Schizosaccharomyces pombe: one gene and its partners. The gene in region 2 interacts genetically with the main gene of each other region. Each region holds a gene or a part of one and is shown on either strand. Other genes may lie near its edges.

What was found. Genes that interact genetically often act in the same process or in processes that back each other up.
Region 1: mutations in saf4 (region 2) and aga1 together harm fitness more than expected from each alone (negative genetic interaction), as found in Schizosaccharomyces pombe (one large-scale study listed by BioGRID).
Region 3: mutations in saf4 (region 2) and fil1 together harm fitness more than expected from each alone (negative genetic interaction), as found in Schizosaccharomyces pombe (one large-scale study listed by BioGRID).

The regions. Positions count from the first base shown.
Region 1 is NC_003423.3:335,851-340,190, reverse strand, and holds aga1 (glutamate N-acetyltransferase), read left to right. Parts: upstream 1-1,910; 5' UTR 1,911-2,052; coding exon 2,053-3,390; 3' UTR 3,391-3,742; downstream 3,743-4,340. Other genes in the region: mti2 (translation initiation factor IF-2Mt), read right to left, coding at 3,743-4,340.
Region 2 is NC_003423.3:1,783,689-1,792,567, reverse strand, and holds saf4 (splicing-associated factor Saf4), read left to right. Parts: upstream 1-3,521; coding exon 3,522-3,782; exon of another isoform or gene 3,783-3,827; coding exon 3,828-4,076; exon of another isoform or gene 4,077-4,131; coding exon 4,132-4,521; 3' UTR 4,522-4,650; coding exon of another isoform or gene 4,651-4,925; 3' UTR 4,926-4,960; downstream 4,961-8,879. Other genes in the region: rps1402 (40S ribosomal protein uS11), read right to left, coding at 1-184; RNase MRP subunit, ribosomal protein L7-like Rpl701, read left to right, coding at 353-481, 923-1,549; PPR repeat-containing protein Ppr2, read left to right, coding at 1,886-3,184; SPOM_SPBC18H10.09 (zf-CHY type zinc finger protein), read right to left, coding at 4,651-4,925, 4,961-6,090, 6,154-6,236; ubiquitin hydrolase Ubp4, read left to right, coding at 6,320-6,427, 6,488-6,631, 6,820-8,349; wbp4 (WW domain-binding protein 4), read right to left, coding at 8,562-8,879.
Region 3 is NC_003421.2:810,098-815,208, reverse strand, and holds fil1 (zf-GATA type transcription factor), read right to left. Parts: upstream 3,520-5,111; 5' UTR 2,555-3,519; coding exon 881-2,554; 3' UTR 501-880; downstream 1-500. UniProt on the Schizosaccharomyces pombe protein: Activates genes required for amino acid biosynthesis and acts as a master transcriptional regulator during amino acid starvation. Binds variations of the DNA sequence 5'-GAT[AC]GC-3'.

The DNA.
Region 1 (4,340 bases), 1.5 Mb from region 2:
TAAAGTATTTAAAAAATAAAAGAATATTATTCATATAAAGGTATCTTATATTACCAAGGCTTAGGCTTTCGTTTGTTTATGCTATCAGTCGCTTGCTAATATTTGATTGGCTCTTCTTTCAGTAAACTAACAAAGCATTGGAGCTTTTATAAACTACGTCATTTAAGTAGGCGTGAACTAAATTATTGGACAGAATTGAGTTTCTTTCACTATGCATTGGAAATTCCTATAAATAGTCGATGAAGTCTGCGAAACAAGGGAGGTAAACAGACTTAGTGGGTATTAAAATGTTGGTCAATCTTCTGCCGTCTTGATTTAAAAGCACTTCTCTTTTACTATTGTAAGACGGAATATGCATGCAAGATCGCTTTAGTTGGTTGAATGTCTCTTTCTTTGTGTTGTGGTTTGTTCGTTTTTTTCTAATTTGGAATATTATAAGAAACGTTGTTTTCTTGCAACATTTTGAAATGGTCATTCAAAAAGCTGGATTCGGTACCACTTTTCTTTTTACCTTGTCTTCTAAGCTCTGTTAAATTTCTTGATGGGGTCCAGTTAAACCAACCCCCAAGTTGGTTTATGTGAGCCTTGTCTCTTTTTTGGATGAATAGTAGCTTAGATAGTGATAGTTATTATTATGACTGATGGAATCTACTTAAAAATGGATTCCATTTTTTGTCTACTGTAATTGAATTCTTTTTGGTACACTTTTTGGCTGCATTGTTATCCTTGAAAGCACTTACAATGTTTAAACTTTGCGAATGACTGAAACAGAAAAGAAATAAAACGACTGTACCTGAACTATTGTTGAAACAATATTAAAACGTATTCCTGAAACAGATTAAACTACATTAAATTTTGTTAATGAATTAAACGTGAAACTTGAAAGTTTGATGCGAAACAAAACCCGCAGTTTGTTTAAACGCTTATTTGTGATTAAAATTGATGAACCAGTTTAAACTATGAAAGTGTTTGAAAACGTGCTGAAACCATTCGTTAAACCCTGCAAACCAACATAAAAAAAATTGAAAATAAACAATAACCACAGCAAGCTAATTCAATTCCAACAATGGTATGTTGCATTGGTCTTCGGTTGTGCTGTGCTCCCTCTTTTTTTGAGCATAGTTAAAACCATTAATACTATTTAAACATTTCTCTTTAAAAAAGAGAAGAGAATAGCAACACATAGAATTTCCAAATTCAACATGCCTTCAAATTTGAAATCGCAAGGAACAGCTATTAATGAATGAAACGAGTTAAATTGAAATAAATCAAACACTATAAAGATTATTATTCTATTTCTTGCTTAAAACACACTTTAAGGAATTGAAATTTTTCACGTAAAATGTTGATGAACTGGCTTTAAATTTACATGCAAGTCTTGATTGTGAAATGATGCGTTGGAAGCATGAATTGGTATTTTCTTTTTTAAAAAAAGCAATGAAAAGTTTGAAAAAGGCAATAAAACTTGGAGGTGGTTGGACTTTGCCGATTTCACGAAGTTTTTCTTTGCTGTTTGAAACTCAACCAAATAAATTAAACAGTGGTAGCAGCCCCAATTAAACTGAAAATCTATCAGTTATATGTTCATGAATGTGTAAAAGCAGCAGAACAGACAGATCCCAGCATTTTTCCCTTCTCTTTGCACTACATTATGAGAGGGATAACTGATATTCTGTAATGTAGATCTGAGAAAACGAAGGCAAAGCTAATCCCGAATGTAAGGTTTAGGGAGCTACTTGTTTTCATCCTTTCGAACGTAAGGCTCATAAAGTATCATTAATTAAACGTAAGAATAATAAATTTCAAACAAATTAGTTGTTCGCTATACCTACTTTTGTTGTGCAGCATTCCCATCTTCTTATCAAGTTTCACTTGATAACCGCTTCGAAGATTCAGACTTCATCCTTCTTAAACCACTACCGCCATCGCATATATATATTTATATACAAAGCAAGTTTACATTATTGTAGCTTTTATTAAACTGCTCGTTCAATTCTACTAAAAAAGGGATCCACTGATTTTGTTACAAGACTGACCATTAAATTCATTGCTATGCAAACCAAAATTTTTGCACGTCTTGCTGGCATTGGTCGGGCTCGGTTTGTTGGTACGATGCCCGACAAGACCAAATTCATCAGTAAATCTGGAACGTATCCACAAGGTTTCAGCTTAAATGGTATTGCTTCCGGCGTAAAAGCCAATGGAAAAAAGGATTTAGCCATTTTATTTTCCTCTCGACCATGCAACGCCGCAGCCGTCTTTACTAAGAATGCATTTCAAGCTGCTCCAGTTCAAGTTTCACGCCAAACTCTGAACGGCTGTGGCGGTAAAGATATTCACTGTGTCGTGTTCAATAGCGGTTGCGCTAACGCTGTTACTGGTGAGGGCGGTTTGATGGATGCCCAACTCATTACCGCCGAAGCTGATAATTTGACTCGTCCACATTGGACTTCGTGGACTGAGAATTCAGAGGAATTTCCCTCGTCGTTGGTGATGTCGACTGGTGTTATTGGACAACGTTTGAAGTTAGACAAGATTCAAAGCGGTTTGGAACACGCGGTTGAAGACCTCGGGTCCACTCATGAATACTGGATGAGAGCAGCTGAGGCCATTTGCACTACGGATACTTTCCCTAAACTCGTTTCCCGTGAACTTAGTATTGCAGGCAAAGTCTACAGGATTGCAGGTTTTGCCAAGGGCGCAGGTATGATCAATCCCAACTTGGCCACTCTTTTAGGTTTGTTTGTTACAGATGCCCCAATCTCAGTTGATGCAGTCCGATCTATACTTCGTCATGCAATTAACAACAGTTTCAATTCTATCAGTATTGATGGTGATACGAGTACAAATGATACAATTGCCTTCCTTGCAAATGGAGCTGCTGGTGGATCCGAGATTACCAAGTCTTCCCCTGCATACAAGGAGATTCGTGATGCTGTAACGGATATTGCTCAACAACTTGCAAAGCTGGTTGTCCGTGACGGTGAGGGTGCTACGAAATTCGTTACTGTGCAAGTCAGAGGCGCTAGATCAGAGAAAGACGCTGCGTTGGTGGCATCAACCATTAGTAACTCTGCATTGGTGAAAACGGCATTCTTTGGTGAGGACGCTAACTGGGGTCGTATTTTGTGTGCCGTCGGTTATTCAGGTGCTGCTGTCAATCCTCCTGCTACGACCGTTAGTTTTATTCCTGCAGACGGAACTGAACCATTGAAGCTTTTAGTAAATGGTGAACCACAAAATGTCGATGAGACCCGTGCTAGCGAAATATTATCGCAAGACGAACTCACTGTAGACGTTGATCTTGGATGTGGTCCTTATGCCAAAACAAATTGGACTTGCGATTTTTCGTATGACTATGTTCGTATTAATGCTGATTATCGCAGTTAAAAAAGAACAGTGGTCAGTTACCAAATTAACCAAGAGTGAGCTCTACGCTTTGATACCAAGAAAGCTTCATGTTTTTACAGCTTTAAACTCTTCAATTCAATTTGATGAACATACACGACGTTCGTTTACAATACGTGTCTAACAGAAAAAAAGGATTGCTGAGATGCATTCATTAACAAAAAAGTATGTATAAAAAGCTTTGCTTGCTTATGGTAGAAGTTTGCAATTTTAAGCGAAAGTTCATTATGCATGTAACATCAATCATAGTATATCATAATAACATGAATCTTTTCATTCGATTGCCTGCCTTAATTGAAAGGAGTTCAAGCCAGGATTAAATAAGAAGTGCATGCTAAAAATCAGGAGGTTTGTATTCCTCAACAAATGTTTGTAGCTTATCCCCTGTAACTATTTCGTCAAAATTTTTTAATAATATACCGCATTCCCTGCCTTTTTTAATACTGGTGACTTCTTCTTTTAAGTGTTTTAGACTGTCAATTTCACCAGACCAAATAATTTTGTCATTACGTACTAAACGTATTTTATGGGATTTTTCAATAGTTCCATTAGTAACTCGACAACCAGCGACATGAACAACTGCTCTTTTAGCTTTGATGTCGAAGATTGCACTAATAATAGCTTCTCCGGTAACACGCTGAACCAATATGGGCGGTAATCGCAAAGCAAAAAGTTTCCGTACATCATCCATTAAATGATAAATAACGTTGTGAAACAACAGCTTTACATTGTGTTTTTCTGCTAAACGAAAAGTAGCTTTCGGAACGGAAACACCGAACGATATAATGATGGCATCGGATGTTTCAGCTCTCTCAATATCAGTTTCGGTTACTGGACCCACCCCAGTATACAAGACTCGAGATTTTACCTTTCCAAATTGTAATGGTTTGAGATAATCTGACAGGGCCTCCATGGACCCAGTGTCTTCACAT
Region 2 (8,879 bases):
CAGCGTAAGGAGAAGACTCATCACGATCAGTCTTGACCTTCATACCACCGGTGACACGAACAATGGTTTCCTTGCCGGTCAAATCAGTGATGTGAACGAATGTATCATTAAAGGAGGCGAAGATGTGAGCAACGCCGAAAACAAGCTCACCGGAACGGATTTGAGGGCCAACGTTAGTAGCCATTTTTCGTGGTTAGTTTTTGGTAACTGCGATATCTCTTTTGTTTTGGGCTTCTTCCTGTGTAAACTAAAGGAACAGTCACAAATTTGTGTCGAAACTTTTGTGACTGCTCATGGGAAAAGTTGACCACTAGTCTTTTCTTACCAACTTTACCACCAGACATCCACCATCATGGCTGTAGCATCGTCAACGGTCCCCTCAAAGGAGCAAATCTTTGCTCCTGAGTCTCTTTTGAAGAAGAAGAAGACCCAAGAGCAGTCTCGTGAACAGCGTGTTGCTGCCGCTGCCGAGAAGAAAGCTGTAAGTGTTTTGTCTATGGATATTTGTCTTTGGATGGATTGAATAAAGTACAGAAATCTTTTGAATGATGAAGAGTTTATCTATAAAGTACACTACAGATTGTGTTTTTTCATCTAGATAGAACCCTCCCACATTCATTTTGATCGGTTTGCAAGGGTTTTCACCTCCCAAAAATTAGTCAAACGCTTTAGCCTGTCATGGAATTTTTTATGATTGCTTTATTTTTATAAGCAATAATAAAGCAGATAATTGAGAAATATGAAAAACAAGATGATGACAACAAATTTCGGATAGCTAGCTTAGGCTGTGCGCGTTCCACAATTTACCATCTTTCGGGACTGATTACTGTTTTTCTACTTTTCTCTTTATTTATTTCTTTCCATCTAAATTACATCCATTCTAATTTCACAAAATTTCTACTGTATTAACTGTTATGTTTAGGCTCAACAAAAGAAGCGTGAGCTCATTGCAAAGCGCGCCGAATCTTACGATGCTGAGTACCGCAAGGCCGAACGTGAGCAAATCGAACTCGGTCGCAAGGCTCGTGCTGAGGGCAACTACTACGTCCCTGACGAAACCAAGTTGGTCTTTGTCATCCGTATTCGTGGTATCAACAACATTCCTCCCAAGGCCCGTAAGATCATGCAATTACTCCGTCTTATTCAAATCAACAACGGTGTCTTTGTTAAATTTAACAAGGCTACCAAAGAAATGCTTCAAGTCGTTGAACCTTATGTTACTTATGGTATTCCTAACCTCAAGACTGTTCGTGAGCTCCTTTACAAGCGTGGTTTTGGTAAGGTCAACAAACAACGCATTGCTCTTTCTGACAATGCTATCATCGAAGCTGCTTTGGGCAAGTACTCTATCTTGTCTATCGAGGATTTGATTCACGAAATTTACACCGTCGGTCCCAACTTCAAGCAAGCTGCCAACTTCATCTGGCCCTTCCAACTTTCTTCTCCCTTGGGTGGCTGGAGAGATCGCAAGTTCAAGCATTTCATCGAAGGTGGTGATGCTGGCAAGCGTGATGAGCATATTAACTCTCTCGTTAGAAAGATGCTTTAATTTGGTGTAGATGTTAAAAATAACCATATCTTTCCTAGCTTTGACAAAATAATTTACAACAAGTAGATTTAGTTGTTTTGGTCATTAGGTGTTATTAGTAAATTCATCGCTAGTAGTTACTTTCATTGTAATTAGCTTTGTTAACTCATTTTTGCAATCTTTTGTGTGCATATAGTAATTTTACCTCGTCAAACAGCACTTTTACTCAACGTTGTACATAAGACGATGGTTGAACTAATGATGTAGTGTCTTCATTCGTAACAACTCATATTTTATAACTTACTTCCTACTAACGCGGTTTTAATCCTAAACTTGAATAAACTAGTGGTTTGTTTAATGCAATTCATTAAAAGGACATTTCCGCGAAGGGCCTTTGTCGATTTGCTCCTAAACCGCTTCTGCTTGCGGGAATTTGCAACCACGTATAGTGTTTCAGTAAGTAATGCGCGGAAATTAGTACGAAAGCGCCTTTTAATCGCTGATGCTTTGAAATTCAAGGAGCAAGTCAACAATCTAAATGAGTTTCGAAATAAAAAAACTAAGTCATCCTTAATAAGAAACGATGGTTTCAAACTGGCTAAAAATGTATCTTCGTTACTTCAAAAAGAGTCTTTAGAGAAAGCATTGCATTTACTGTACGAGAGATCAAATGCCAAGAAGACGGTTGCCTATAACCTTGTACTACAATATCATTTAGCTAAAGGGCATTACAACGCTGCTTGGTCTTTGTACAATGATATGAAAAAGCGCCAACAAAAACCTAGCGATCATACATACTCCATTCTTCTAAAGGGATTTTGCGATGCTATTGAAAAGAATAAGCAAGGAAATTTTTCTAAACTACGTGAATATAGTGAAAAGGTAACAGCTAGTGCTCTCAAGGAGTCTAATAATGTCACATCCAATTTGCATCACATACGAATTATATCCAAGTGTAGTCTAAAGCTTAAAAGTATGGTATTGGTGTCAATGATTATTCCATCCATCAAACAAACATTGGATTTCTATAGTGGATCTCAAATTCTTCGACTTTTGAACGACTTTTCTATGTTCAATCCGGAACAACGTGAAGAAGTGTTAAAGATGGGGACGAATCTTTGGAATTATTTTGTCCTTGAATGCCAAAAGAAAGGAATAGCAGTTGATGAAAGTCTTATTTGTTCCTTTGTGAAACTTCTGGCTACTAGCAACTCGCCTCAAGTGAGAAACGTGGGGTTAAATATTCTTACAAAAGTGATGGGATTGGAATATCAGATTTTCGAAGATTCCAACTTGCGTTATCCTTTACCCCCATATTGCGATTGTACTTCAAGAAGTTTGGTTACAGCATTACAGGTCATTCGTCAAATACAAAACGGTGATTTGTTAGCAAGGTATTGGAAGTATTTTGAGGAAAGTCACAAATTTGATTTAAATCTTCAAGTATATCATGAGAAGCTACGTAACCTTGTTCAGCAGGGCCAAGCAGCTGAATGCTTAAATACCATTAAAAGGATGTCGCATAACGGTCCTTTCCCTACTCAGCAGACATTTTTGATTGTCTTATCATTATGCAAAAGGCCGAAATTTTATAGCTACACGAAAAGCTTCTTAGACTTGGCCAAGAAATTGAACGTCCCCGTTGAAGCAACCTAAAAATATCATCAAGTGTTTAATAATTCATCGATACCTTTTTATGTCATTTATAATTTTCTATTAATTTATAAGAAATGAATTCAAATAATCGTCATGTAATTTATTTATTTGTACATGTTTACCTTGTCCGTTTGAAACTGTAGAATGGAACCCTTATTATTTTAACGTCAATTTAGCAAACGTAATTTAAAATTGTTTGTTGAAAAGCCATGAATTAACTAAGAGTTATAATTATGTTTCTGTTGCATGCCACTGATTTAGCCTGAACTTCACCTAGACGTAGTATTAACTTAGGAACTACTGATTTTGGGCATAAAGAGCTATATACTCACTAAAAATGCAAGGATTTAATATGGGGAAATATATTCCCCCGGAAGGGCCGAATGCTAAAAGAAAATTTGATAAATTACGAAATGTAATTCGGTTTGAAATGCCATTTCCAGTGTGGTGCAACAATTGTGAAAATATCATTCAACAAGGCACTAGATTCAATGCTGTTAAAAAAGAGATTGGCTCATACTATACTACGAAAATATGGTCATTCAGCTTAAAATGTCATTTATGCTCAAACCCTATCGATGTACATACGGATCCTAAGGTACTGGTTTGATTAATTTAACAAATTTGTTACTGACATAAATAGAATACAGAATACATCGTTGCTTCTGGAGGCAGAAGGAAAATTGAACCTCAAGACATCAATGAACGTCCTGCAAAAGCTGAAAACGACGAAAAGGTGCCGTCTGATGCAATTGAAGCGCTGGAAACCCAATTAACTCAGCAAAAGTCAGAAAAGCATAATAGTTCTGTAATAAACTTTATATATGAGAAAAATGAAAGGCTTTGGTCGGATCCTTTCGTTTCTTCTCAGAGGCTGCGAAAACAGTTTCGGGTAAGAAGAATTTGTTTTGCGTTAAAATTTTCATATTAACTAACCCATAACTTAGGAAAGGAAAAAAATTGAAAAAAAGCAAGAAGCTAAAGATCTATCTCTCAAAAACCGTGCAGCGTTGGACATTGATATATTACCACCCTCTTCTTCTGACAAGGATAAGGCATTATTGTTGCTAGATAACGAATTAGGAAAGAATAAATTTATAAGGAAATTAGATTATAGAAGAACATTAATGCCCTCTTCTAGAACATTTTCGACTTTTGCAAAGTTTGCTGAGACTTCATTCGCAAAAAAAGATCCTTTTGCTCGAAAATTTGTCCCTTCCGAGAAGCTAAGGAGCGAGCAAAGGAAATTTCCTACAGAAAATTTAAAGGGAGAGAAAATCCTTGAAGATAATTCGGTTTCTCTCGTCAATTATGAAGTGAGTGATGATGAAGGATAATTATTTTGGTTAAATACGAAGACTTTAAAAGTATCTTCTATCAAAAGATTAACTACTTGTTATTCATTAAATTTTTATACAATATGGGTATCTAATGAAGCAAAAAAATATGGATGTCATGCAACCCAATTAATTACCGTGATGCTTCCTTTTGTACTTCCTTGGATCCTTCCTACTCATGCGAACGCGATCGCGCATTCCTTTTCCTCCCTCCCAGTAGGCACTGGTTTGTTTTTTCACAGTCATATTTCCACAATGGGGGCAAGTTGCATCCTTTTTGTAGAAAGATTCCATGGCACAGTACCCACATATTATTCGATTAGCATGCTCAAATGTATGATTTTGATCAGCGTCATGACATTCATCACATGGATAAACACGATCACAACATGAAAAACGAAACCCTGATTGTTAATTATGAATTTTATAAACGACTTACATCTGAATGATTTTTTGTAATGTTCGCAAGCACCATTATTGGGAAGTGGCAATCCTTTCGTAATGTTTAAGTTTTGTTTTTGCTTCTTTTTTGCGCTCACCTTCCCGCCCATTGAACTTTGTCGTTGTTTTAACAAATGAAATTCGGTATCTTGATGTTCAACCAAGATTCTGTTTTTGCATACTTTACAAAACTGTAGCATGGGCTGCATGGAAGAAATACCTTTAAAGGATGTTATCTGCTCATCAACACATTCCATACAAGAGACCTGACAGTCAATGGGCATCACGTCAACCGGTACACATCCTAAAGTATGGAGGATACCTAAACGGGCATTATTTGGGTGAATCACACCAGGCACCCAAACTAATCTTAGAGTATTACTACACTTATTGCAAACAAGAGAAAATTTTGTAGCAATAGAAATTTCACTTCCATAATGGCACCGAACACACTTTATGACCAAACGTAAAATTGGTGCTTTGAGAGTACCGACATTAGTTAAATGCGGATTCTTCCATTCTAAGCAGTATTCGTTACCCAGAAGCTCTGTGTCTTTGCTCTGAATGTCATGATCGTTACTGTAAGCATCCTGTGGTTCATTAACATTTTGTAGATCATCTTCTTTCCCATCGTTTCCTCCTTTTGAATAAATAATTTTTTTTGGCTTTTCATCATTGAATAACTGTTCAGAGCCAGAGATGGTAGTTTTTGTTTGGGTAGTATTCTGCTTTTGACAGTGATTTTGACCACGCAGTACTTCATAGTCAAGTGTAGTGTTCAAATGAACCCTCTCTGATAGAGGTCCTTCAAGCTTATTTGCCAACGGCTCTAAGTCAGTTGGGGTTTCTGGTTTCTTAGAATCGACTTGTTGAACCATCAACTCACGCTCTTTTGTATTGCATGTCTCAAATGATTTCCAATTTTGTAACAAATAATTAAATAAACTTGTCAAAGTTGTTTTCTGATTTTGAAATGCCGTTTCAACGTACTTATTCATTGCCGTTTGCATGAACTCTTGATTTTTTTCAAGTAATACCGATATTTGAAACGGTTTATCTTTATTTATAACTAAAGTAATCAATCCATGATCACTGGGCAAGGATAAGAAAATCTCATTTCTTGCCTCTCTGGTACTAGTTAATAAAGATGTTTACATTAACTAACCCACAGCTAACCTGCTTAGTACTTACATAACTTCCGGATTAAGCCTTCGCCGGAATACTTGTATCTGCAAGTCCCAATTTGAATCCTTCATAGCTTCAATTGAAACCATAATAACCAAAAAAGGCTATAGTCTTGTAGTATTTGGTTCAATTCAGGTTAAGTCGCCAACACAAATACTCGGTTCTTCCTCGGATGTCCGATGATTATTTCGACAGACTATTTGAATTAGCATTCGTTTATATTAATGAAGATGAAACGATTCAAAGCTGTTCCTTCAGAGGACAACGCTGGCTTGAAGAGGTATGTCTAATTTTTCCGTGCCGTTTATAGTAATGTGCTTCAATTACTAACAGTTTTGAGGCCCAAACTCTTGAACAAAAAAATTCATTACTCAAAGCATACTATTACTATTTAAAAGCACTAAAACTTGCTTACGAAATTCCATGCCGATTCGAGATTTCTGTTAAGTCTACTCATTATGGAGAATTCAAACAGTTCCAAAAGGTATCGACATTGTACATAGTATTTTTTTTAATGCTCAAAACACGAAAATTTTGTATTCAAAGCTCCCTAGCCTTCTCGTCAGATAAATTTGATATAGTTGACGAGACTGTACTAATTATGATCTTTGAAGCAAACTTAATTTATTTTTTGTTCAAGTTACAATCTTGAATACTAACATGTCCTTTTAGTTAGCAATTCAAGCCGTTTCCAAAGCCTTTACTATAAAAAGCAAATTAGCGGTGAAGCATTATTTGCCTGTAATTCAAATCTCTGACGCTCTTTCCCTATCAAAAAAATCATCACTTAAAGTTCTTTTTCTTAATTTCTATTCCCAAGAGTCTTCAAAGGGTTATGTTTTTTCGAAGCACACGATTGCCATCCCAATATCCTGTTTGCAATCGATGGATTCTTCAAAAATATATGACTTTTTAAAATCCGCACCTTTTCATCCAAGCATGGTTATTTGTTACAGTTTGGAAAGATACTTCGAAGACGTTTCTTTGGCTTACAAGCTTTACTCGATGTTACGTTCGTTGAAGTTGGATCCTCATTTCATGGAATTGGCGAACCCTAAGAAAGTTGATAGTTCTTTATCGTATGAAAATTATCAGCCTATAGGTTTAACGAATTTGGGTAATACTTGTTACATGAATTGTGTCCTGCAATGTCTTTTTGCGTGTAAGGACTTGACTATTCCTATGTTACAGGGGAGAGGATTGCTTCAAAATATCAATACCAAAAATCCATTGGGTACCGGTGGAAAAATCACATCTGCTTTCTTTTCCTTGCTTCAAAGTGTCTTATTAAACCATGGTCAGAGATCAATATCTCCAAGGAATTTTTTAGAAATTGTACAGTCATTGAATAGAGATTTCTCCATCGATGGCCAATGCGATGCTCAAGAATTTTTAAATTTCTTTCTTGATAAACTTCATGAAGATTTGAACTCCAATGCATCTCGGTCTCCGATAGCACCGTTGACGGAAGATCAATTAAGTGCCAGAGAAGAACTCCCATTGTCCCACTTTTCACACATTGAATGGAACTTGCATCTCCGGTCTAACAAGAGTATTGTGGTCAACAATTTTGTAGGTCAACTTTGCAGTCGTACTCAATGTATGACATGTGGCCGCACATCTACTACTTTTGCTCCCTTCACATCGCTTGCGATACCGATTGACGATGTCTCCCATGTAGTAAGCCTACAAGAATGCTTATTAAAATTTTCAGCTCCTGAACTCTTGCAAGGGCATGATGGATGGCATTGTCCCGTGTGCAAGGTTCAAAGGTCGGCAAAAAAAGTAATTATGATTTCGAAACTACCTGAATATTTGATCATACAAATTCAGAGATTTAAAATATCCGTAATGGGTCGTAAAAAAATTGATACACCACTTGGATTGAGCTTACAGATTCCAAGTAAAATGCTGGTACCACCGAGTTTCCAATCGGGAATTGGTTATATTCCTAGCAATTATAACCTGTTTGCATTTATCTGTCATTATGGCCAGCTCGAAAATGGACATTATATATCTGATGTACTTTTTAATAATGAATGGTGCCATATTGATGACTCAATTGTTCGAACAGTGGGCGGTATTACTGACTTGAGAGAAGATTTCTCCTCTTCCTACATTCTTTTTTATAAACGCTCAAGTCTGTTGGAGGAGTTTGAAGATAAGTGTCCCAAAATGACTTTGAAAAGAAATGTTAAATAAAACAAAATAAAAAAAGGAAAAATGTTTTCAATAAACCTCAAATATAGTTATTGAATAAATGTTCAACTTAGCATTCATAACCGATATGAATACTTACTTAATGCTGATTACCCAACACAAAAGCTACTCTCGTTATGTTGAACAGAATGCAGGAATTGGATACAAAATTTTTTCATCCTAGAATTTTTTTTAAACAAAGATGGTTTTTTTCTTCAAGATTGATCATATTCTTTTAAGGAAGATTTTGTTCTTAACTTTCCAGACTTTTTCTTTTTAAACACCACTTTGTTTTCATTTGATTCCTTGCTTTCTAGCGATTTGTTTCCCTCGTTTTCAGCTAACTTAGGTACTTTATCTAAGTTTTTTGGTTTTACCCGAAAATGAAATGAAGATCTTTCTTCTTTTTCGATGATCTCTCTGTTTCTTTTCAAAGAGGTCCCTGGTAGAGACTCATTTTTATTAGTAGTTGTTTCCTTGGTTTCTTCATTTTCTTCTTGCTTTGCTAGCAATGTAGGAATATAGCTGGTATG
Region 3 (5,111 bases), on a different chromosome or scaffold from region 2:
TAATATTTATATTATTTTCGTTGTGTAAAGCTAAAAAGCAAGGCTAATGGCAAATATGCCTATATTGTCCTTACACTGTACTGAATCGGTAACAATTGACAAACACGCTTTTATAACATTTTATCAGTGCTTAATTAAATTCAATACATCAATAATTTATTGTTATTTAATTCACCGCTATTTTTGAATAAAGCCAAACTAATTCAAAGAGTATTAATACGTTACTTGTTTCAACAAAGTTTCTTTGCCTCTTACATACAAAAAAATGCTCCACGCCTGCCTACTCGTCTGAGCTTCTCAAAGCTAACCCAGACGGTGAGGTATGGGTAGTACGCTTAAGCGCCATCCATTTTCAGGGCTAGTTCATTCGGCAGTTGAGTTGTTACACACTCCTTAGCGGGTATCTACTTTTAAAACAAACTGCGTATTCGCTAACTAACATTTGCACAACTTAACTTCAAGACTAAAAAAAACTACAAGCTACAGCAACAACATTAAAATGTAAAGAGCACTTAAAAATTGATCAGTCAATTTAATTTCAATCAGTAAGACTAGAAATAAAATATCAAGTGAAATTTTTGTTTATAGTTGCAAAAGCAAGATACAAAAAAAAAGAACAAGAAAAATGAAAAAATAAAAAATTCCAATAAACCCACACATCAACCCTTTATGCCATATCTAATCAAAAGTATATCCCAAATGTGTATTCAAATGTATAGGTTTTAGCTACAAAAGTAATCTTTCAGTACGAAGCGTAGTCTTCAAAACGATTGAAACTTGCAAGCTGTAATAAAAACATAAACAAAAGCTAGAGTAGAAAATAAAAGAGTTTATAAAAACCAAGGTGAAAAAAAAATCAATAGACTCTTAGTAATGTCTTTCAACAAGAGACCGAAAATTTATTCTCTATTTCTTCCTCCTTCTTGACAATAACCGAGTTGTCCAACGAATCAAAAGAGATTTTTGCATGCTCCAACGAAACATCAGCATCGGTATTCGGCATTTTCGAAACAGAAACAGAGTTGGTAAGCTGAGGTGATTCAAGACCCTTTGAAGAGAGTATCTCGGCCATCGTGACGGATTTTGAGAGTACGGGGAATTCTGATTTTACCTCGTCAGACATTCCATCTTCTCCACCAGGGCCCTTACCACGACGACGTCGGGTAATTTTGTTCTTCTTCAAACCAATAGGACGATTGTGGCCATGAAGACGGGCATACAAACCACAAGCGTTACAAACAGTCTGTCCGTGACGATCTTTGCGCCACAACGAAGTTTTCGTAGAAGAGCAATTGGCACACACCAAATTCTCAAGTGCCTTAGATGAGCCTTTGTTTCTAGGAGACAATGGTCTCATAACACCATACTGTTTGTTGTAAAGACCACAAGCATTGCACAAGAAGTTAAGCTTATCTGATGTACGTCTCCATAAAGGCGTTTCAGTGACTCCACAGTTAAAACAGACATGTTCGCGATGTTTCTTTTGTTTCATTACACGTGCTGCCTTACTAGCCTTTTCAGTTTTAACGGCAGCAAGGGGTGTAGAGCCTTTCATTCCCTCTGCTAACGTCGACTTCAGACTGAGAGAAGAAGAGTTAGAGGACAGATTAGGAGTGGAAAATTGGGGCAACTTAAGTGAAGCATCCATGAGTAATGAACGAGCCTTTTCATCTGTTTCAAAGCTTTCAAACGAAAAGAATGGATCAACGGTAGCGATCGAATCGGACAAGCTAGGAACTGAGCCCAAGAACTCAGATTGGGATAGCAAAGCAGAAGACGAACCAGTCAAGGATGAGCTCGATTCGGAGAGCTTCGAGGGAGACGTGGAATCGTTCAGCTCCCTTTTAACAGGCGACTGAGGTGACATGAAGCCCAGATTGCTTAGCTTGCATCCATAGTTGGTGGGATAAGATATGGAAGCAAACGCACGCTGACAATCACCATCAGAGGCAGGGAAAAGAGGGGCTTGACTTTCATCGAAACCAAACTCGGAATCAAGAGCACCAGGGAATGGTGTATCGATTAATGCCGAGCTTGGCGTTGGGATGCAGGGAGTCTGTACATAAGAGAAAGGGGGTGTGGGTTCTGACGTCTTACTGGAAGACAAGGCAGCAATGTCAATATGAGAGTTCGACAGTATGGTAGACTTTAGCAATCCGGAATCACCGAGTTGCGCAGACTCTAAATCAGAACATTGCCTTTGATTGTCGAAATCCATGCTGTCAAGAAGAGACCAACGAGCAGAGGGGTTGGTTTGCAATTTCTGATTATTCTCCGTAGAGTTAAAAGCCAAGGGATAATCAGAAAGCAGTTGCAACATTGAAACCGAATCAAAATCAACATCTCCCTTGCCTGGCGCATTGGCGAAAAGGGCATCCTTATGAAGATCAATGGGAAGATTTGCGATATCGGATAATGCTGTATCAGCGGGGGAAGTGAAAGTAGGGTCAAATTCGGAAAATTGACCGTCAAACGACCCTTCAGTCATAGCCGAAGTAGGGAAAGAGGGCTGACCAAAGGGGAAACAAAATTCAGTAGTATCGTTGTAATTCATGATAACAAAATAATTGGATTTGCTATAAACACACAGACACAAAGATAATTATAAAAAAAAATAGAAAAACAAGGGAGAGAAACGAAATTATAATACCGAATTCAATCACACGCGAGTAATATGTTAGTCACACACAGACAAAAAGTAATAAATGTTTAATGTTGACTTTGTAAAAAAATAAGAAGCATAATGCACTTTGGGGATAGTTAAAAAAAACAATAGACCCGACCAAACGATGTAGAGATTCTAAAGACTCTAAATGTTACAACCAGAGGAAAAGAAAGATATTTGACCGAAATGAGTAAATAATAAAGGATTATTCCAACGAAATTAACTTGCGAGTTACATCATATTGGAGAATTATAAAAAAGAGATAAAAGGAAGACGATTAAAATAAGAGAGAAAATTATTTAATCAACCACAATAGTAGAAAAGATTAACCGAAAAATACTAAAAAGATATTCGATAAACAAAGAGATAGGAGAAAAATTTTGGTAGAGGGATAGAAAACCTAAAGCAAAATTAAGAAGATAAAAAAAATGAGGTGAAAAACAACCTACGATAAATTCTCAATGAGACAACATTTTGAATGATTTAGGAGAAAAAGACTTAACGACGACACGAGGACGAACGAAGCATGCTTTGTAAACGTAATATTGGGGGTGGAAACAAAAGATCCGAAACAACAAAAACAACCAGTATATTCGATTTCAACAAGGAAGTAAAATCAACTTAAAAAAACGAGGACTTTATAGATAATTTAACACATCTTGGGAAAAATTAAATCTGAAAAGTAACTAGAAAACTGAGGTATGTAAAAAAAAATATGTCAACACTAAATGGAGTAGAAGACAAAAAAATAGAGATTTAAAAGCTTAAAATAAATGTAATAGACGATTTACGAGATCAGGATGTTAACGCTGTACTAGTAAAATTGTGTGGTAGTTGTGGTGTTGTTGGTTGTTAGTAAGTTTGGTGTAGTGGTAAAATAAAAAAGGAAAAGAAAAAAACCGGCGGCGCAACGAGCTCTTAAATAGGAAGAACGTGACAAGAAAGCCACTACGTAGTCAACATTCATGCAGCTATTATGGACAGGTACGGCAACTTTTGATTGGTAGAGAGAGGAGGCATAATAGTAGGGACAGCGCCTTATCAGAGGGCTTATCGAACGATCGGGGTGACATCGGCCCCAAAGCTTATCGCATCTAAGTCGCTTTGTAAGTGGTGGGAAAAACATTAGATAGCCAATCAAAGATTGCAAAGACTTGAAAGCAACACCCAGGCCAGCACGCAATGAACCATCGTTCAAGTGCATTAAAGTATATAGCGAAAGAGAATGGAATGCAGTAAAATCAACCGGCTGTGGAAGTGAGTAGCGCCGATATCGCTATATAGGAAGTGTGGGGGTGTATATATAAAATGGGGGCGAAAGGGTTACTATAGAGACAAATAGACACGAGGTAACTAAGTAAGTAGGTAGGAGAAAAGCGAATTAACAATTTGAACTTGATAATAAAATAGTTGTGTATTTCTCAGTCAATTTAGAATCAATTGAGGAGAAAACTACATGATCATAGAAGGGAAAGAAGGAACACAGCGAAAGAAAGAAGCGTTAAACAATAGGAATGGTTCTTTTTGAACCGATTGTTTATAGAAATAATAAAATGAATGTTATGATGTGAATGTATGAGTGGAATGTGGATGTGAATATGAATATGAATATGAATATAAAAGAAGATGTAATTAAAAAGTAGGATTTGGAATTTTTCACAACAAAAACTCGATTAACTGTAAATGTCGAGTCCTATTGTTGGTTAAAAAGAAAATTACTTAAAAGTCCTTTTGTAATAAATTCTACTCTTAAAAATTAAAACTGTTTATGCCTTATTATTACACATGTGTCCGACATGCCTTGCCTGTCCAAAATGCCTTGTCTACTATACTTTTCTATACTCAGTCTAACGCATTTACTTTCTCTGCCTGCAACCTTTCTGACCCGCTATAACGATAGTGACTGTATTCGTTTAAGCTTAGTTTCCGTGTTCCATCATCAATTGTTAAGCTTATTTCCGCAAATACACTCGCTCTCGCTATTTAAAGAATTTTCGGATTTTTTCGGTCTGCGCAGTAGCGACTATGAAGGCAGCAGAAGTACATTCCTACCGGAGAATGAGTTCCGTTGGTATTACACACGGAAGGCAAGTGACAAGGCTAGTGAAGGATGATCGATTGATCCTATTTCTCGGGTTGTAAAGGCCCCAAAAATAGAGTGTTACAAGAAAGTAATGGGCCTTGCTTTGTGCGTATTTTTGTTATTCAACATGAGTTTGCTATAGCATGAATTTTCTCTGAAATGCGCATACTAAATTGCAAAACTTGTTTGATAAAAGTGCAATACACTTATCATAACGATGTTGATGAGTAAATGAATGTTGCGCATCACTTGACAGTAGCAAAGTGCAATTATTGGTTTGCGCAACGTTGTTTTGTTCATTTCGCCAACTTTGCTTATTCACACCGGTTCTATGTTCAGGCATTTTGTTGGTCGTTGGTTACT